Linked DNA regions of Caenorhabditis elegans. The gene in region 4 interacts genetically with the main gene of each other region. Each region holds a gene or a part of one and is shown on either strand. Other genes may lie near its edges. The genes, in order: let-23, sem-5, sos-1 and unc-52.

The links.
Region 1: of unc-52 (region 4) and let-23, changing one enhances a phenotype caused by changing the other (phenotypic enhancement), as found in Caenorhabditis elegans (2 studies listed by BioGRID, with this or other methods).
Region 2: of unc-52 (region 4) and sem-5, changing one enhances a phenotype caused by changing the other (phenotypic enhancement), as found in Caenorhabditis elegans (2 studies listed by BioGRID, with this or other methods).
Region 3: of unc-52 (region 4) and sos-1, changing one enhances a phenotype caused by changing the other (phenotypic enhancement), as found in Caenorhabditis elegans (2 studies listed by BioGRID, with this or other methods).

Annotation. Positions count from the first base shown.
Region 1 is NC_003280.10:9,195,501-9,200,693, forward strand, and holds the start of let-23 (receptor protein-tyrosine kinase), read left to right. Parts: upstream 1-2,011; 5' UTR 2,012-2,017; coding exon 2,018-2,147; intron 2,148-2,483; coding exon 2,484-2,504; intron 2,505-2,756; exon of another isoform or gene 2,757-2,845; coding exon of another isoform or gene 2,846-2,960; intron 2,961-3,440; coding exon 3,441-3,508; intron 3,509-3,688; coding exon 3,689-3,847; intron 3,848-3,932; coding exon 3,933-4,086; intron 4,087-4,136; coding exon 4,137-4,355; intron 4,356-4,517; coding exon 4,518-4,784; intron 4,785-4,851; coding exon 4,852-4,968; intron 4,969-5,055; coding exon 5,056-5,146; intron 5,147-5,193. UniProt on the Caenorhabditis elegans protein: Tyrosine-protein kinase receptor which, upon binding ligand lin-3, activates 2 signaling cascades: the let-60/Ras and MAP kinase signaling pathway and the let-60-independent phospholipase C-mediated Ca(2+) signaling pathway.
Region 2 is NC_003284.9:7,958,668-7,963,334, forward strand, and holds sem-5 (Sex muscle abnormal protein 5), read right to left. Parts: upstream 3,057-4,667; 5' UTR 3,046-3,056; coding exon 2,968-3,045; intron 2,918-2,967; coding exon 2,817-2,917; intron 2,646-2,816; coding exon 2,523-2,645; intron 2,476-2,522; coding exon 2,368-2,475; intron 2,320-2,367; coding exon 2,183-2,319; intron 1,684-2,182; coding exon 1,544-1,683; 3' UTR 786-1,543; downstream 1-785.
Region 3 is NC_003283.11:4,546,229-4,551,224, reverse strand, and holds the start of sos-1 (Son of sevenless homolog), read left to right. Parts: upstream 1-1,933; 5' UTR 1,934-1,945; coding exon 1,946-2,065; intron 2,066-2,117; coding exon 2,118-2,204; intron 2,205-2,314; coding exon 2,315-2,401; intron 2,402-3,352; coding exon 3,353-3,655; intron 3,656-4,996. UniProt on the Caenorhabditis elegans protein: Promotes the exchange of Ras-bound GDP by GTP. May regulate signaling pathways downstream of receptor tyrosine kinase, egl-15 and let-23.
Region 4 is NC_003280.10:14,681,455-14,686,698, forward strand, and holds the start of unc-52 (Basement membrane-specific heparan sulfate proteoglycan core protein), read right to left. Parts: upstream 3,003-5,244; 5' UTR 2,843-3,002; coding exon 2,640-2,842; intron 2,092-2,639; coding exon 1,937-2,091; intron 1,851-1,936; coding exon 1,612-1,850; intron 1,436-1,611; coding exon 1,253-1,435; intron 888-1,252; coding exon 737-887; intron 349-736; coding exon 239-348; intron 1-238. UniProt on the Caenorhabditis elegans protein: Component of an integrin containing attachment complex, which is required for muscle development and maintenance. Probable structural role in myofilament assembly and/or attachment of the myofilament lattice to the cell membrane.

The DNA.
Region 1 (5,193 bases), 5.5 Mb from region 4:
GGTCGAAGTATTTTACAGGCTTCAAAATGGTCCACTGGTCCAGTCATCAATACCTTTTCCGGTCAGGTTACTGTAATCCAAAAATGCAACCTCGAACAAATGATATATGTTTATAGTCTCTAATACTTCCTTGACCTCTAAATACCTTTTCTTCTCCTCCTTGCCCTCAGTTTTTTCTCATAAATCTTCATAAACCCACTTGACACCTGGAATCTCTTCCCCTCCCTCATCATTTTCCAATCCTCCCTCACCTATACTTTCAATAACAAATTTTCTGCTCTTTTCTTTACGAAGAAATAGACAAAGTGACTCTGAGCCAAGCCACACAATCAAAATCCAATCATTTTCCACATGTTGATCTCCTCTTCGTTCATATTTCTTAGGCGCATCTAGGTGTTCAACCATATGGTAATTAGGACCGCCCGTGTTCTTCCCCACTAGCTGCCAACCGATGGCGGTATGACTTCAAAGGGAATGAAAATGAATCAAGAACCCTCATTCTTCAGTGTTGTTGCAAGATTGATTTATTAGTTTTGAGAGGTTTTTTTTGTTTCAATTAATAGATCTCCGAATTTTGCCTAAAATTTGAATGTATCCACTTTTTACTTTAAGATATTTATGTTAAAGTTTTCAATGAACATTTTTAATGCAAAAATTGTGGAGACATTATCTATTGTTTTTAAAAACATCAATGAAGATCCCGATGTAATTTTTTAGATTTAAAACGGTTTTCTAAAAGCAAAACGCCAAGCAAGCATTTGATAACCATTTGCACATAGAAATACGCCGCCCAGCCTTTTCCCATCAACCTATTCATATTCAAGTTCTATTTGTCGGGAGGTCCATTGAGTATTGTCCACGTTTATAAATCTATTATGATTCACAATCTAAAAGAGCTCAGAAATAAGAAAGAATGAGAATTAGAGAAGCAGAGAAGATGCTCAACAACCATCGTCTTCTTCTCTTCCTTATCAACCACCCACACAGTCCTGCTCACTTGCTCCTATCACTTTTTTCCTTGTACCGAAAGAAAAATATGAACAATTTGAAATACTGCTGACAAATTTTTGTGTACGACGTCAAATGCGTTTTGGCATGTGATTGAGGTTTTGATTTTTTTTGGTGTAAAATTCATTTGAAAAATAAATTCTTCGGACGAACCGGAAATTTTAAGCTTTTAGTTTCATATATCTTACTTACTTTTCAGCATATAAACTACAAAAACCTACAATAATTTTTCAACTGAAAATCGATCTGAACTCTTCTAAATTCTAAATTAAAAAATTTCCCGGATTTCCGCCATTTTCTTTTCGATATTTCTTAAAAGCATCTCCTCAAGTTTCCCATGCCGATCGTATGTTGTTCTTTCCTCTGATTCATAGATTTCAATTATAAAAGTGAGAGAACTTGAGAGCTCGAGACGTCACGCACAAAAGAAACCATTTTTCTAACTTCTCGGAGCAAGAGGTACACTATTTTTTAACGGCTCTTTTTTTTACAATAAAATTAGGACTGCGCAATCAATAAAAATTATTGAGTTCGTTCAGCGTTAAAAAAAATCAAAAAATTTTTGCAGAAATTTTGGCTTCAAATTTCAATTTCCACTTAAAATCCTTGTTAAGCCAGTAAGATGCTATACATTCAAACTAGGATATTAAACGCATACTACCCCAAACACACGAACTGTCGGAAGCTGTACCCGAAATTGTGTCCTCCAATTTATCTTCACACAATTTGACAGCAACTCGTCCATATTGAGAACTCGTCTCTGGGCCCCCCGATGGGGAATAGGTCGTAGACCACAAAAAGAACGTGGCGCCACAACACCAATAAAACATTTTTGTACGTTATTCTATGTATGGTTGAACTGTGTCGTTGTTGAAGAGTTTTAATCCCATCTCGCTCGCATCACCTTTTTTTGTTTCAAAAATCGCCTCCTTTACTGCCTATACCTCTCCCAATTCTCTTGACAATATCGACCAAAAACTGCATTACTGATGTCCAATTTTCATTTCAGATGAAGTTCCCTTTTTTATTCTTATTTTTAATAATCTTAATTGATACAACAATTGATGCGGCATCACCAACGTCAACACAAGGTTCAGTAACTGTACGGAGGAGGCAACGGAAGATTGTGGTGAGAGAATGTGAGTTGGCTTTTGGAATTATTACGTTTTCCATTATTTTGTTCAATTTGATCAAAATTTGAAAATCGTGAAAAATTGGATCTGAAACCGATTAGAGCGAGGTTATGAATCCTATTTTATTGGCTTGTCATTTTTTTGATAGATAAATGACTCCGCCTATATCTTGGTTTTTCTCAAAAAGATTTCTGTGAATACGAAAATTATTCCACATGAAATTGACCACCATAGTAAAAAACAAGCTTTTGGATTTTTATTAAAAGTTAAAATAATATAATGTTTAAAAATGCATTCCGAACAGGAAAGTATGTCTCAGAATTTGCAAACATTTTTTTAAAGGGAACCTAACAGATCCTAGTGGTGAGTAACCCCGTTATATCCAAATATAATTTCCTTTTCCCATTGTTTTTGTGGTATTTGTGATGTCCTCGTGATTTATCCAAAAACCCAATTAATTACTCTTTCCCCCACACATTCATACATAGAAATTTGCAACTCATTCCATTTCGAAGCACTTGAGAAGATGAAAAATGCTAGAATTGAGGCAAAAATGAAATGAAAATGAGCACACATTCAGTCTACTACTCTCTGTCCCGTTTTTGGGTATCACATGTATAAGAGGTAGAAAAGTGGTCATAGAAGAGTGAAAAAAAGGAAGAATTTGTCCAAGTTTTCTCACTATCTACAATTTTCTGGGAGGCATGCGATACCCTCCCTCTATCGGTTCAATTTTATTGATTATTCCTATTTTTCTAACATTTTTTGGAAATTCTAATGCACAGTTGTGGAAAAGATGTGTTTCACCTCAAGACTGCCGTAAGTGGATAAAATGGGAAATTGTCAACAATGGCAACTGATTTTTTTTAAATCATAGAATATACATATGCGATTTGATGTGTTCTTTCTAAAAAGTTTCAAGACATATACTTTAAAAAAATGTTCATTAAAGTAATACAATACTTTTTGTAGAAATTTAAATTTTTATTAATTTTGACATGAATCATGATATTTCGATTACAGAAAGTTATCAAAAGTTCATTACAAGTACAGTAACCGGTAGACACGTGAGAACTTTATCATTTAAAATGTCATTCAGAGGACAAGTAATCGGATCATCAAGAAAATTGAAAGGCTCCATTTTTTTCTTTTTTTTTGAGATAAGAAAAATTTTTAAAATAATTCTAGTTAATTTTTAGAGAAACTAGATTTTTTGAAACCAAAATATGCATCCCCTCTGTGAATTTTTCCTCTTTGAATCAAACAAAAACTTACACGAATTTCATTCTTGATTTTCAGTTTGTTCTGGCACAACCAATGGAATATCGAGATATGGAACCGGAAATATTTTGGAAGATCTGGAAACTGTAAGTTGTTGAATAGGGATTTATCTTTGATTTCTGCTGTTAAACCATACGATTAGAATTTTATTTTAAAAAAATTTAAAAAGTTCCGGATCGACGAAGTAACCATCCAAAACAAATAGTCAAATAGCCCCAGGCAAAACTAAATTTTTTGCCAAAACAAGGAAAAATGTCTTGATTTAGATGTACCGAGGGTGTCGTCGTGTTTATGGAAATCTTGAAATAACATGGATAGAAGCAAATGAAATAAAGAAATGGAGAGAATCGACGAATAGCACTGTGGACCCAAAAAATGAAGATTCACCATTGAAATCAATTAACTTTTTTGATAATTTAGAGGAGGTGAGTATGAAAACATCTACAACAATAGATGTATTTTCTACCAAAAACGTTTTTGCTTAAATCTTCCTTTACCTTTATTTTTCAGATTCGAGGAAGCTTAATAATTTATCGTGCGAATATTCAAAAAATATCATTTCCAAGACTACGAGTAATCTACGGAGACGAGGTTTTTCACGATAATGCATTGTACATTCATAAAAATGATAAAGTTCACGAAGTTGTGATGAGAGAGTTGAGAGGTTTGTTTGCTCAGCTTTTAGAGACATAGTATTTTATTTTTATTTTTCAGTGATTAGGAATGGAAGTGTCACAATTCAAGACAATCCAAAAATGTGTTACATTGGGGATAAAATCGATTGGAAGGAGTTACTGTACGACCCAGATGTACAGAAAGTTGAAACTACAAACTCACATCAACATTGCTATCAAAATGGAAAATCAATGGCAAAATGCCATGAAAGTTGTAATGATAAATGTTGGGGATCCGGAGACAATGATTGTCAACGAGGTTAGCAAAAAAATTAGACTAGACATAAGTTTTTGTTCATTGTGGCTGAATTTTTCAAACTTCTGAAAAAATTTAATTTTTGACACAGAACGATCAAAAGTTTCAAAATTATTTTAAAGAAATTATGTAAATAAAATTCACCAATATGCAGTATATTTTCAGTCTACCGTTCCGTATGTCCAAAATCTTGTTCTCAGTGTTTCTACTCGAACTCTACAAGTTCATACGAATGTTGTGACTCGGCTTGTCTTGGAGGATGTACAGGTCACGGACCAAAAAATTGCATTGCCTGCAGTAAATATGAATTGGATGGAATCTGTATCGAAACGTGCCCATCGCGAAAAATTTTCAATCACAAAACAGGACGATTAGTTTTTAACCCAGACGGAAGATACCAAAATGGAAATCATTGTGTGAAAGAATGCCCTCGTAAGTTATTTGGATAGAGATAAATGATGAATAAGCAGAATCCACAACTCACGAAATACTTTTTCAGCTGAACTTCTAATCGAAAACGATGTATGTGTTCGTCACTGCTCAGATGGTCACCATTATGATGCTACAAAAGATGTTAGAGAGTGTGAAAAATGCAGAAGTTCCAGCTGTCCAAAAAGTACGTTTTCTTTTTGAAATAAATCAATTTCAAGCTGCACTAATTCCTACAAAATCCCTAAAAGCTCAATAAATACAAAATTTTTAGTTTGCACGGTCGATGGACATCTGACAAACGAGACACTTAAAAACTTGGAAGGCTGCGAACAAATTGATGGTCATTTGATAATAGAGCATGCGTAAGTATTTCTTTCTTGGTTTTTGAGATCATCGTATAATCTTTGAG
Region 2 (4,667 bases), on a different chromosome or scaffold from region 4:
TTTTTCCGTATTCATCAAAATAAATTCAGCCCGACTCCTTTTGGAAATTTAAATCCTGCCAATTTTGCTCATAAACAACTTGCATACATTTCAAATTGCGAATTTTTAAAAGGTTTTCAATGCAAAAAATGTTTTCCATGGAATATAATTACGTCAACTGAGCATCAAGCTTCCAATTGTCGTTTTGAGACTATAAAACGGTCTGTAAATTCGTGATATCACGAAACAACGAATATATACGGCTTTATATTGTTACGTTTTCTTTCAAAATTCAATTGTTAATCAAAGGTGTGGTAAAGCAAAAGACATTAACGTTGCTTTAAAAAAATTGAGAGCACTATTGCATTTTTGAGACTCACAAATTATAATTTAAAAAAATAACTTAAAATTTAGAATAAATTGTTATCTGGTATATCCAAGAAATAAGTAAAGACGGCGCGCTTTTTGGTTGAAAAAAAATTGATTTTTAAGTTCGAAAAACATACCACTTCACCTTTTCCGTTGACAAAAGATTTCACAACCCATTACGCTCATTTTAATTATTATCATTGACTCGTTATAGAATTTTAACTAATGGTTTAATTTCGTTTTTAGAGCCGTATAAACTTTAAAACTAATCGGAGAAGACTTTTATTAAAATTCGAAATGTCTGAGTATTTTGTTCAAACTAGCTTGCAAAATGTGAAAATGTCATTAAAGGAAACTCCACATGCAAAATTTTCCAGATAAACTACTTTGCATCTACAAATTATGTTCTGTAAAAATTATAGAAAGTGGATTAATATAATAATTATTAACCTTCATTGATTTACAAAGGGATTGGAAAATACTTGACAAATTCGATATAAAAGCAAGACGGCGAGTAAAGTGGGAGGCAGAGAGAAGCTTCATGATGCTCTCGACAAGAGATTGAGCCGGAGGAATAGAATGAAGTGATAAAACTATATCAGAACAGTGTGAGTTGTGATAAAACCGAACAATGTAGCACCGAACGAAAAATCGTATTGGTTTTGGATGAATTGCAAAATGTCAAAAGAAAAAGAGAGACAATGACGAGAAATGGCAAATAGTTATGACAAAAATTGCATGAACACAAAAAAAAACAAATGCGAACAGTCTCTGAGTATTGTGTCAGAGTATCTAATCGCTTAATAGATCCGTAATAGAATTGGTGTGGGGTTGGAAGAAAGCGGGAAAGAAAAGGCTGTTGATAACACAACAAGAATTGTATCATTGCCAACGAAACCGAACAAAAAATCGATAAAACATTGCCAATGGCAGTTCCAAGTTGCAAAGAATAAAAACATTGAAAATTCATGGTCTACATGTAAAACACGAACAACTTATCTCAGTTTTGAGAAAGTTGTGAAATTAATACCCAGCATTGGAAAGTGTGTTTGTGACAAGATTTAGTGATTATTATTGGAGATTAAGTAAGAGAGGGCTTATTAGACTACTATGTCAAGAACAAATGGTATAGAAGAAACATTGAACGCTCCTTTTAAAGAACGAACAGAGACAGGAAAAATCCTAAAATAACGTCCTAATTTCCAAAGTTGAAGCCAGGAGCCACGTTGGAGTTGCTCTTATTGCTATTGTAAGGGCATACGTAGTTGGATGGGAAAATTCCACGCCTGTTGTTCAGCTGTCCTTCCCACCAGTTTGGATCGTCTTTGTTGATCACTGAAAATAAAATATAAGAGATTTTCTAAATGTTTTATTTTTCGGGGTTGCTCAACCCCGACAAATAGATGATCAACCGATTAACTCTATTTTTACGTTGTGAACATTCATAATGCTGCAAATTGTATCTTGAAATCCAATGTTTCTCCGAAAAGTAAATAATAGCCACAGAGTTTTTTCATTTCAATTTGAGTTTATACAAAAACTAATCTAACAACTGATTTTCAATACGTGCATTTATTTGTTCCAGTGAAAGTTAGTTTAAGCAAGACGTCTCATATTATCTTCCTAGTACTTTGTATTACCTTTTTGTTATTTTTATGGTTCTTCTTAAATATTCTTGTTTTAAGATCTATAAAGTGAATAGTTTCAAAATTTTCGAAATACAGTCCAAGATATATCCATTTTTACCATTTTCAATTAAACCTAGAATTTTTTGATTCAAACTTTCAATTGAACATTTTAAAATCATGAAAATTTGTGTTTCAAAAACACTTACAAGTGATAACATCTCCTCTTTTGAAAGCTAGCTCTCCACTCTCCTGTGGGTTGAAATCAAACAGGGCCTGTACAAATTTAGTCTCCACATTCATATCTGACAGCAATATTGTGTGAGTACGCGAAACAGAAGCGGTTCTGAAAATTATTGATTTTTTACTTTTTTTTTGAAAAAGTGTGACTCACCTGTGATAAGCAACTAATTCATTCAAAGAGTTGAATTTGACAGCCCACAAGTAATATTTACCATTTTGATCACGCAAAACTTTGAAATGTTGTACAGAATCTTGGAATCTGGAAAAAAATGTATAACTTTTTGAAAATCTATAACATCTTCTTACCGAACACTGATCGAAAATTCTCCTGGACTACTTTCACACTGTCGGACAAGGAAATGACCATCACGTACGGTTGGCTTTTTCAGCAATACTTCTGCGTCATTTCTTGTTATTTTACCAAGGTACCTAAAAATCCAGAAATTTTAAAAATTGTTTACGCAAGCGTTCTCAGTTCTTCGCGCCCTAGCTGCGGGGTATACAAACAAAAACCGCGAGAAGTAAGATCGACTGATTTTTAAAATATAAGCTTATAGATTAAATCCTCAAAAAAGTCAAACTATTTTTTCCCGAACATACCAATTGCATTCAGTCATACGAATATAATTAGAAGGAATGAATCCTTCATTTCCATCCAATTCAGCTTTATACCAATGTGGATCTTCATCTTTGTTCAAAACCTGCAATTATTGATTTTATCAGGGCCCGGTTATGATATTGTTGAACAAACTTTTAGCGTGTTTCCTCTCTTGAAAGACAACTCATCAGGTGATCCCGCCTGGAAATCATGCTCGGCGACCGCCTCCATCGTCTCGCTACCTGAAATATACTCTTTGCAGCTTCAGAAACAATTAACACCAAAATAAAACATAACAGAGTACATTGAACAAACATTGTTGTCAATAAATTGGCCTGCTTGAGAGACTGTATCTACATATCGACATATCCGCGCGGCGCCAATGAAAAATTATTAGAGCAATAAAAAAATCTAGCGGCAAAGCATAGAGGAACAACTGAGAGGGAAAATGAGAATGAGAAGAGCGTAGTGCAAATTGTAACAGGAGATGAGTAAGAGGACCGGCGAGAAAAAAGAAGGATAAATGAAATTGAGAAACGCAGAACGCAAAATAAAAACCCGCAGGGTCACTAGTTCGGTGATTGAGGTGGTTTTAGTTGAGTGTTTGAACGTGAAAACGGGGAAACAGTGGAAACAGTAGAAACCGGAGAGTAACAAACCGGGGCAACACTAAGTGTCGTCGATTCCGGCGCATTGTATGCAACACTAAATGTGCCGAATGCTACGACACTACTTTTCTCTAATACTCCAAATCTATCACGCGTTCTTCGTGTCTCTTTTTTCTCTCCCATCTTCGCACTGTCTCTATCTGTCTCTCCCACACACACACAAAAACAACGGCGAGTTTGGGCAGGCCGGACCGTACTGTTTTCCGCAATGAGTTCTGTAATTTACATGGTTTCAAATGGAGATTCAGAGAAAAAAGTGCGATACGCTATCAGCAGTCATCATGCACGTCTTTTCTTACACTTTTGAATGAATGGCCGGAGAAACGGAAAAGAACAAATGAAAAGTGATAAGAGAACACGAGAAAACGAAGAAGAAAGAATCAAATTGAAAATGCTCCAAGGCATTGGGTATTGCAATTCATCGATTAGAAGAATGTCAACAAACACACTCCCACCTTGTCCTGTCCAGCCTGAGGTGACTAACCGTCTAGAAATCAAAACATTTGGGTGTGCTGGGTAGTCAGTACCGATTCTCTTTTCAAAAATAAAAATGAAAACTATTTCGGAAATAGGGCTAGAGATGATAAATTAGATAGGAAACATAAATAGATTGCAACTTCAATCAAATTTTTGAACTTCAGTTGCTGGAAAATTATTTAGCAGTTAAAAAATTTAATGAAAATTACGAAATAAGACTATAATTTAACCGATATAAAAAAGATAATCGAACCTGTGACAGTTACTCATAAATACTTGACATTTTAATCGGTGAGTGTACGTAAATATAATAAGGAATAGTGTTTTCTAGCTGGAAACCAACTGTATTTACTACTAGTTAGTTTGACAAATGTGTATTTACCTGACTAATACAAAATCGTAAGAACAGTATCTATAGTAAAACTAATATATGACTGAAATTAACTTTTTTAAGAACCAAAATATTAAATTTTGTCACTGGTTCTTTAAATATATCCATATAACTTTTCTGAAAATTCTCACTGTTTTACAGTGTGAACTTCCAAGAGCAAGGTTATGTGACTGATTTGTCAATAAATTTACTAGGTTCCGTAGTCGGCAACTCGTGGCCACTTCTCAACCTACTTTGGCCACTTTCTAACTGCCATTAGATTTCCACCACTTCCCACTTCTCGACCAACTTTCGTCAACTTTCACACACTTTTTCTA
Region 3 (4,996 bases), on a different chromosome or scaffold from region 4:
TCAAATTTTAACTAAACCTAGGCCATTTTTTGAGCCACCATAACTTTTTTAAAACAAGTTTTCAAGATGTTTCATTATAAAATTCGGTGTTTTCAGACTATTTTGAGTTTAGTCAAGAAATAATAATCGAAATAAAAAATCGACTACACCACTTTTAGCATGAGATAAACGATAAAAGTATGCAATAAAGGGTGATAATTTAATAAAAACTGTAAGTAAAATTCCAGAGGCTGCCATAAGCAAGAGTTGCCGAAATTTCGGCTTTTTTTTCGATTTTTTTTTAAGAAAAAAGTCTCATTATGATATCCAGTCAGTTTTGGTCTATTCAAGCAAAATAACCAAAATCTCTACTACTTTTCAAATTTCTTCAATTCGATCGAATTTGACCTCAAAAAAATCGAAACGAGAATCAAAAAAGAGTCGACCTTGAAGTAGTGTATTTGTGTTGATTAGGTGGGGCTACTGATTGCACTGCAAATCAATAAATATATAAAGTCTTCTCAACAGATCAAACTGGTTCGAATAGAACAAGGCCGTGGTGAGAGATGGTGGCCGGCCGTTGTCGGGTGTCCATTTCTCTAGAATCTCTCACAGATTCCTGCAGTATTTCGTCAGCAGCCGCCGGCGGGTAACCCCCCGCTTCCCGTTCTCATCCCGTATCATTCTGTCCGCTTGTCTGTCACCTCTACGCTTCCATCACACTCCATCTTTTCTTCTATTTCTTCTTTTCAGTGTGTGTGTTGTTCCATGCATTATTTTTGCGGGTTGTAATCATCATCATCATCGCCATCATACACTTTTCTCCTTCTTCTCCATCTTGCTTTTCTCGCTCTCGTCAATATAGTTTTTGTCTTAAATAAACTTTGCAAAAGTGAAAATTTAAAAAAATATATAAATTCGTTCCTTGCATGCAGATTTTTTTTTCTGAAATTGCCGGAATTTATGTTACCAGCCAGGGATGTCCGGCAATTGTGGTTTGGCAAATTTTCTTGTCCACAAATTCGGCAAATTGCCGATTTGCCAATTTGCCGGAAATTTCGATTTTCGGCAATTTGCCGATTTGCCGTTCGCCGGATATCAATTTGCCAGAAAAATGAGGGTTTTTTATATATTTTTTTATATTTTTCATAACACTTAAAACTGTGCCTTTTTGAAATTTTTTTCCGGTTTTCTTTAGATATTTTCATAGAATTTGCTAACTTTTCAAAATAGATGTAGGAACATTCATAGGATGCGTACAATTTTGCTGATTGAAATTGAACTTCTGGAATTCCCAAAAAAAAAGTGCAAGGCCACAATTTGCCGGTTTGCCGATTTGCCGGAAATTGTCAATTCCGGCAATGTTGATTTGCCGGAAAGTTAGCAAAAATCGTTTGCCGATTTTTTCCAGCAAAGCGGCAAATGGCCGGAATTGAAATTTCCGGCAAATTGGCAATAAACCGGAAAAGTGGCAATTGTCGAAAATTTTCGGCGAAACGTGGTTTTGCACTTCTTTTTTTGTTGGAAATTTCAGAATTTCAATCTAAATCGGCGAAATTGTACGCATCCTATGAATTTTCCTACGTCTGTTTTGAACTGTAAGAAAAAATTTAAAAAAGGGGCAGTTTTAAATGTTCCCATCTTATAAAAATCCCTCTAAACATTTCCGGCAAATTCCAATTTTTTCGAGGAATTGGATTATGTTCCATATATCAACGAAAAAAAAAACAATTTTATTAAACAAAATAAATTGAAAAAATTCGGAAATTTTTCATTTGACGGTATATGCTAAAATATTTTTTTCTGTTCACTTTAAGGTACTTCTGGTGATTAGAAAATTTAAAAAAAAATCGATTGTCAGCGTAAGAATTTATTAATTCATGAATTTTAACTCGTAACTTATTGTTGGCCCACTAATATATTTTTTCCTAAATAATTCAAAATTTCATTGCAGATGGTCATATAAATGAGCATAATGAGCATATCACTGCACTCGGCATCATCGGATACGGTCTCGTTGACCAGCCGACGAACAATATCAACTAGTAAGCATTGGGCGGCTATTTTTGATGAAAGAATTTATCAGGTTTGTATATATTTGAATATTTCCTGAATTCAATAATATTTTTCAATTTCAGATATGCAATATCGTACATCCTGGCCTCCCGATTGACAATGCTGCAGTTGAGCACATTCGATATTTTTTGCAAAGTATCGTTTTTGAGGTATATATATATATGTATATATCGGTTTTTTTTCAAATCTAACAAATAAATTAATATTAATAAATTCCCCCTGTGCATTTCTTGACCTTGTAATCCTTTCCCCTCTTCAGCTCATCGAAGCACGTGCCACAAGTGTCGTCGAAGTGGACAAAACTGCGAAAAAGCTGTTCGCATTCGGTCTGCAGACTGTTTGTAAAGTAAGGGATTTTCAAAAAATGTTTCCAAAAAATTTGTATATTCATAAATCATCAAAAAAGATCGTGATTTGATTTTCAAAACTATTCATTTTTTGTCTTTTATCCTGAATATTCAAGTTTATGGAATTCTTTCCGCTTTAAAATATTTTATTTAAAATGTACTACGAGAACACAAAAATCTGAGAATGCGTATTGCACAACATATTTGACGCGCAAAATAACTCGTAGCGAAAAAGAAAACTACAGTAATCCTTCAAATCACTACTGTAGCGCTTGTGTCGATTTACGAGATCTCGATTTTCGTATTAAAAGCGATGGAGCTTATTTCGAAAATTGGGCCCCGTAAATCGACACAAGCGCTACAGTAATCATTTAAAGGGTTACTGTAGTTTTCGCTACGACACATTTTGCGCGTCAAATATGTGCAATACGCATTCTCAGATTTTTGTGTTCTCGTAGTACATTTTAAATAAAATATTTTAAAGCGGAAAGAATTCCATAAACTTGAATATTCAGGATAAAAGACAAAAAATGAATAGTTTTGAAAATCAAATCACGATCTTTTTTGGTGATTTATGAATATACAAATTTTTCTTTTTTTTGCCTAAAAAATCTGGGTTTGGACAAAAAAAATATTAAAAAAGTAGTGAAATTGGTGAAAAAACCAACAAAAAAAAACGTTTTCCACCTAACATAAATACAAGAAAAATGAAATATACTCTTTGGGAAAAAAATATTTTTAAAAATTCTAAAATTCTGAAAAACCACAAATTAAAATGAACAAACCACGAAATATTGAAAAATTCAACTTTCGAAAATTTTCGTGATTTTAAAATTTGGATTTTTCAGAATTTGAGACTATTTTTGAATTTTTCGGAGCAATATTCCCCCTAAAATGTGTATTTTTTCTGATTTCTCGAATTTTCTTAAATATTATTTCAAAATTTGCAGGAAGCCTGGGACAACATGCACCAACAACTCCAAAAGCACAAATATCAAAAAGCCCTGAAAACAGTTCTAGAAAGCCAACATCGCCTGGCAGCAGTCATCAAAGAAACACTTGGACCACGAGAAAAAGAGAAAAAAGATCGAGAAAAGAAGGAAATCGAACGTATCGCATGCTATATTTATTATGCATGTGAAAGTGTTACTGAAGATGTGCTCAGGCTGACTGGAAATTATGTGAAAAATATTCGAAATAGTGAGCAAAAGATTACGATGGCTAATCTTGATGTGGCGATGAACGGGGATAAGGTACTGCTTTTTTTTGGAGAAAAATATAAAAAAAACCTATTCAGCAGAAAATTTGCTTCGAAAAAATAAAAATAAAAATAGTCTTGAATTCAGAAAAAACCAAAAAAATCGCAATTTTAGCTAAACACAATTTTGTTTTCGAAATCGAAAAACGAGAAAAAAATTTTTTTTTTGAAAACAAAACATTTTTCGCCGAAAAATACGAAGAAATAATAAATTTTTCGCCAAAAAACACAAAAAAGCGAAAAGAATAAACATTTTTCAGTTTATAACGTTATTTTAAAAAAAAACTTGCTTATTTTGACCAAAATTGCATTAAAAAAAATTCGAGTGTGATTTTTTGGAATTTATGTAAAATTTAATATTTTTCTATATTTTTCAATTTATCAGAATTTTCCGCTTTTTATCAATCTTTTTTTCGAAAAAAAAGCAACAAAAAAAAACACATTTTTCGCCAAAAACACGGCAAAATCTACAACCCTGACTGCTGCGACCAATCAGCGATTCGCTCCGCCCATTCTTCAACCAATCAGATGGAGTGGGCGGAGTTTGGTGGCGCTGATTGGTTGTGCAGTTTTCGTTGCGGTGGGAATTCAAAGTTAGCCAAAATTTTCACGATTTTCTTGTGTATTTTTTTCCGAATTTGAGACTATTTTGGTTATTTTGAAGCGAAAATTCAAAAAAAAAAAATCCCAGAAATTTCTGAAATTGACCTAAATTGACCTGAAAATCGATAATTAGACTTGTTTGCAAAGAAAAAAAAAAGGAAAATCTAATTAATATAGCCGTCGGCAATATTATTGCCGAAAAACGATATATTAATTGGGTTTTCTTTGTTTTTTTTCTGTTTTATAATTGGAAATATTATTTTTTCAGACTTTTTTCTGGAAAAAGGGTATAATTTTAAGATTAAATTATCGGTTTTTGGCCAATTTTGGCTAAATTTGTTTCAAATTCTCTTTTTTCATAAATTTCATCTCAAAATTATATTGCATATGTCCACTTCGTGCCAGGCTGTCCCATTACGGTTTGATCTACGAAAAATGCGGGAATTTTTTCCCAGAAAAAATGTGACGTTAGCACGCTCTTAACCATGCGAAATCAGTTGAGAACTCTGCGTCTCTTCTCCCGCATTTTTCGTAGATCAAACCGTAATGGGACAGCCTGACTCCACGTGTATCTGCACGTGGTCTCAAAGTGTCCCATTTTGGTTTGATCTCCGAAAAAGGCGGGACGTCACATTATTCCGAGGAAAAAATTCCCGCATTTTTTGTAGATCAAACCGTAATGGGACAGCCTGACTTGACTACGTGTATGTTACGGTGAAATATGAAATTTTTT
Region 4 (5,244 bases):
GCAAATCGGCAATCCGGCAATTTGCCGATTTGCCAGATTTGCCGAACAGCAATTGCCGCCCATTCCTGAATTATTTAGTGCATCTACAGTAATATCTTATAGAGTATCCATACAGGCTCTGGAATACTACTGTATTGCAAAAATGCGGTCTTTTTGTGGGTCCAATGTATCCCTACGATTTCCCTACTGTAGTTTCACAGTACAACTTTGTTGAATTTAAAATTCCCCAACCCCTTACCTTTTCATCAGAACCATCATGGCAATCTTTCCATCCGTCACAGACGACGACAGTTGGCACACAAACATTTGTGGACTCGCATCGGAACTCATTCGATTTGCATTGCACTTCTGTAATAAGTCAAGTCGACGAAAGATTTTCTCAAGCACGGAGCACAATTTTTCAATTTTTCCTTGAGCATTTTCTCCTACAAGTGTGCGAAAAACAAAACAAGTGTGCTGGTCAAATGTTTAACTATTGTTTCTCCGAGCACACACACACACATGTGTGTGTGTGCTCTTTTCGTCCCCTCTCACCTTGTTGGAATAACCGGGTCTACTGGCTGCTTTTCAACTAAAAATTATTGGAAATGAGTCATTGATCTATCTTCCATTTTTTGGTACTAGTATTTTTCTCACAATGAAAAACATCAATTATTACATTCTAAGGAGCGAGGTAGTATCTAGCACCTATTATAACGAAATGTTCAATGTATTTTATGACTAAGAGGCCCCCTACCAGAGCAATGTTCCTCGTCATCACCATCTGGGCATTGAACTCGGCGATCACAGAATTGGGCGACTGGAAGGCAATGTCCAGATTTACAGGCACGCTCCCCGCTTGGGCATTCGTCGGATTCGGTGGCGACACGGTCGGAGGTGATGCGGACCTGAAATTGAACATTTTATGAATAGCTAAAAATACTGTAAATGGAAATTGGTTCTGATCGGTTTCGGAATAATGAAAAATTTTGATTTTAGAAATTTTCAAACATATTTTCACTTGTTTGAAGTCCTTTAAGTTGAAACACAATGTATCAAAATATGCAAATCGGAGAAGAAAAATTTTTTAAAAAATGGACCAAAAAATTCATGTGCAAATATAATAGTCGTTGAACCTCTCAGTTACAGTTTTGCCAATATTTTTGGAAATTTAAAATTTTAAAGGAAGTTTCAAACCATCAATGATAGCATATATGGAAACCCCTTTCTTAATATTTTTCTCAAATTTCCTGAATCACTTTCCAACGCTTACCTCAAAATCAGCCTCCACATTTATTCCTTGCACAATCATTTTATAAGTTCCATCATCTGCGTCGGTGGCGTTGATGATATGAAGATGATGTTTGTCTCCTTTTTTGTAAACCGTCACACGCCCGTCTTCTGCCAAGGTCATCGAGCCAACTCCAAGAAGAACGCTGTCTTTGGACCAAGCAATCTGGAATAATCAATAGTTTTACACAATATTAAAAGATTTTTCGGAGCATTACCTCAATTCAAAAGTCAATTAAGAAACTTTTTTTTTAATTATCAACATAGCTTGGAATTAGAAAATTAAGCATAGCCTCCAATCATGTAGACACTTTTTTATAATCAAATAAAGTGTATACGAACCTTATTATCCTCTACCGAACTATCAATTGAAGCCGAGAGATGGATGGATCCATGTTTCTGAGCGAAGACAACTTTCTCAGTTTGATGGATGATTGGTTGATGCTGCTTGCATTTTCCATGCTCCTTGTGCTCATCTGATCCATCTGGACAGTTGCGTCTTCCATCACAACGTTGATCCGCCGGGATGCATGACTTGTCAAGGCATGTGAATTCTGTGGTGGCGCAGGCTATTGACGAGTCTGCAATTTTTGGTAAAGTAAGATTTTTCAGGCGACTGAATAATTTTAACATATAAAACAACACACAACAACACACAACAACACACCTCTTACAACATGAAGCTCAAAACCCTCATCGGAAACCGTAAGGTTCCCAATTTTTCCAGACTTTATCGCGGACAACAACACATCAGACACCAGTGGTGACTCTTTTTCAGCGTACAAATCCACGTAGACAAGAGATCCAATGATTTTGTGATATCTGGAAGTTACAACAACATATAGGTACACACACATGTACATACATACGCATGTATTTACACAAAATACTCTATTGTTGACTTTCTCTCGTGGGAGGAAGCGACCGTTTTTTTTTTGTTAAGAATTATCAGAAAACATGACATTGGAATTTGGAAGAATTATTTGAAAACTTTAATATATACTTTTTAAAATTAAGCTGCAGAAGTATGCCTTCTAAATTAGTATTGTTGAATTTTGAATGACCGCGGACTCCGGACCTCGGACTTCGGACCTCGGGCTTCGGGTTCCGTTCTCCGGACGATGGACTCCGGGCTCTGCACTCCGGACTCCCAATTTTGGAACCCGGGTCTCCGAACTTGCGGATTACGGACTCTGGGTTATGGCCCACGGGCAACAGTTACGGGTTTGGATTACGGACTGATGGACATTTTGTAATTTTAAGATTCCGCAAAAAAGTAAATATGTGGAAATTAGGGGAGCAATTTTAGAATTTCTTGAAAAGTGAAAAACGCCCAAAATTGTCGATAACCTTTTTCACTCAAAACTCACTTATAATCGGCAACCTTAGCTGTATGCCTTCCTTCTAGATCCTTGACCAACTCTTGAATAGAATGAGCTATATCTCTAGATGTGCTCACGAACTCATCGCTCTCAACGTTCTTCAACTCCTGAGTGTACGGTAGTTCGGGAAAGTTGATGGTCAACCGGTAGATGACCGTCAGTGAAACGACGGAGAACAGCGAAAACGCCATCCCCCCTAACTAGTTGACGGGGGGTATAAATGAGCAGTAGGTCAGTTTTAAAAAAAGAAAGTAAGGAGATAGAAGGTTGCTAGACAGAGGCGCGCGCTGACCGTCGGCGGCGGCGAGGCACAGCGGCACAGTTGCAACTTCTTAGGCCCCGCCCACTTTTTTAGGAGAAGCTTCCACCCTCCTTCTTCTCTAACTGAATTTCTTTCCTGACTCAGGTAAATATTTGCATTTTAGAGCCGCCTCTCTTGTTGCGCCTGCGCGTCTCGCAACTAGCATAAACACATCACACACACTCACACTCACTCACACACTCACATACTTGAATAGCTTGTCATGCACCACGTTGGACGGAGTATCATGGTATATAACCGTCTCATAATATATAATATAGATTCGCATGTTTCTTGCTTATTGTTATTATATTAGACGCGGTTGCCGCTATTGGGGGTGCAAGTTTGAAAAGAGCTAGAAAATTTGGTAGCATTGGTGTTTGAGAAAATATTTCCAATTCTAATGCGTTTCTGGCCATTAGCTGACAGTAACCAAATCATACAGTTCTCATGTATACTTTCTAAAGCAATTCCAGTGTGTTTAAGCTTCAAATCTAGCAGTCCTCATTTTATGTAAAACTACATAATTTCCAGAAAAGTACAAAAATTCAACAGAACATATAAAATATGTTGATGTTGCATGAATACATAGTTGCAAAACCACAATTTTCCTAAAATTTTCAATTTTGGCAACTGCCAAAAATAAAATTTGTCGGCCACTCTCTTGATACAGAGTGAATCCACAGTACCTGGCGTTTCACGTCAAGTGCATTTGAGTGTGCTACCATAGTCTTATCGAAAGACTTTTGTACATACAATAAACCTAGCCACTTCGTGATCAATTCATGAATTTCAATTCAAAACAACTCTATATTGCAAATTTCTGAATTCTAGGATTTTTCTAGGAAGGCGGTGAAAACCATGTACAAAGCTTCGCCTTTTTCAAGTTGCTCCGGCCCGCGTGCACTTTTGATTTCATTTGGCAAAAAGAGTTTTTGTTGCAATACCCGCCCAAACCATCATATATCCTGTCCAAACAAAATATCCCCAAATCTTTTCCGACATACACAGGTCGTCGTCATCTCATCACTCGACGAGAGTTCCCCGATCATCAAACCTCATATTGGTGGCTCGTCTTTTCCGTCCGATTTTCACATCCTCAAGTGTTTATAAATAGAGGAAGAATCATCTCCCAGAGGTTATAGCTTTGACTATATATATTTCATTTTCCCATACCTTTTATAATCACTGATATCGCCACCTCACCAAAGAAGGTGGCGAAAACTGTCGAAACCTTCCGATTATATAAAAGTACCCCCACAAATATTGACACAACAATTGGACAGTCTTCAAGCCGATTTAAGGGAGGAACGGTAGCTGCTTGGAATGGGGGTAGTAGGTTAAAAGGTGAAAAGCGGCGAGGAAAAAGAGTGGAAAATTGGTGGAGAGCTGGGAGAATTGTTTGCTGATTTTCGCACTATCCCTATACTTCTTGCATCTAAAAGTGCAAATCTTTTGGGGAAAGCTGGTGAAAAAAATTGGGAGTTAATTAGAGGAAAAAACAATTGGAACAAACACAAAATTTTCAAGAGAAAAAATATGATTTTTTGAGTACAGTGAGTAAATATATGAAAGTGAATAAAATTTTTTTAAAAATGGCAAAAATAATTTAGCAATTTTCGAAAAAAAAAGTTTTTAAGCCCAAACAAAACCATAACACAAAGCATTTTGAAAAAAATACAGACACACTTAAACTAAAAAAGCAGGCAAACATATCCCAATGAGGAGGGGGCCACCCAACAAACGCAACAGGATGAATGAGATCTATAACCGGGAAGAGTTGTAAACTAATGTAAAGGCAATTGTTAGCGCGTTAGGAAATTGTCGCATGCATACATTACACACCAGGGGTGGGCCGCAAATAATTTTTTTTCTCGGAAAACGGCGAAACGGAAAATTGCCGAAAATTAAAGTTCCCCGCAAATCGGCAAAGTTCAGGAAAACGAAAAAAAAGTGAATTTTTTGAAAAATAAAATTTTCGGCAAATTTTGGCTTTGCACATTTTGTCTCGAAATTCAGTAAATTCTATTTATGTAAATATCTAAAGAAAACGAAAACAAATTTCCAAAAAGGCAGTTTTAAGTTGTTCCGTCTTATAAAAAATCTCTCTAAACACTCCGGCAAATGGCAAATCGGCAAGTTTTCCAAAATGAAAATTGCTGGCAAATCGGCAAACCAGCAATTTGCCGAATTTGTCGACAATTTTAAGGTACAATAACCCACGAAATCGCAAATTAAGGTGCAAAACTGTCAGAATATGTTTGCCTTATTGTATTACTGACTACACTTTCA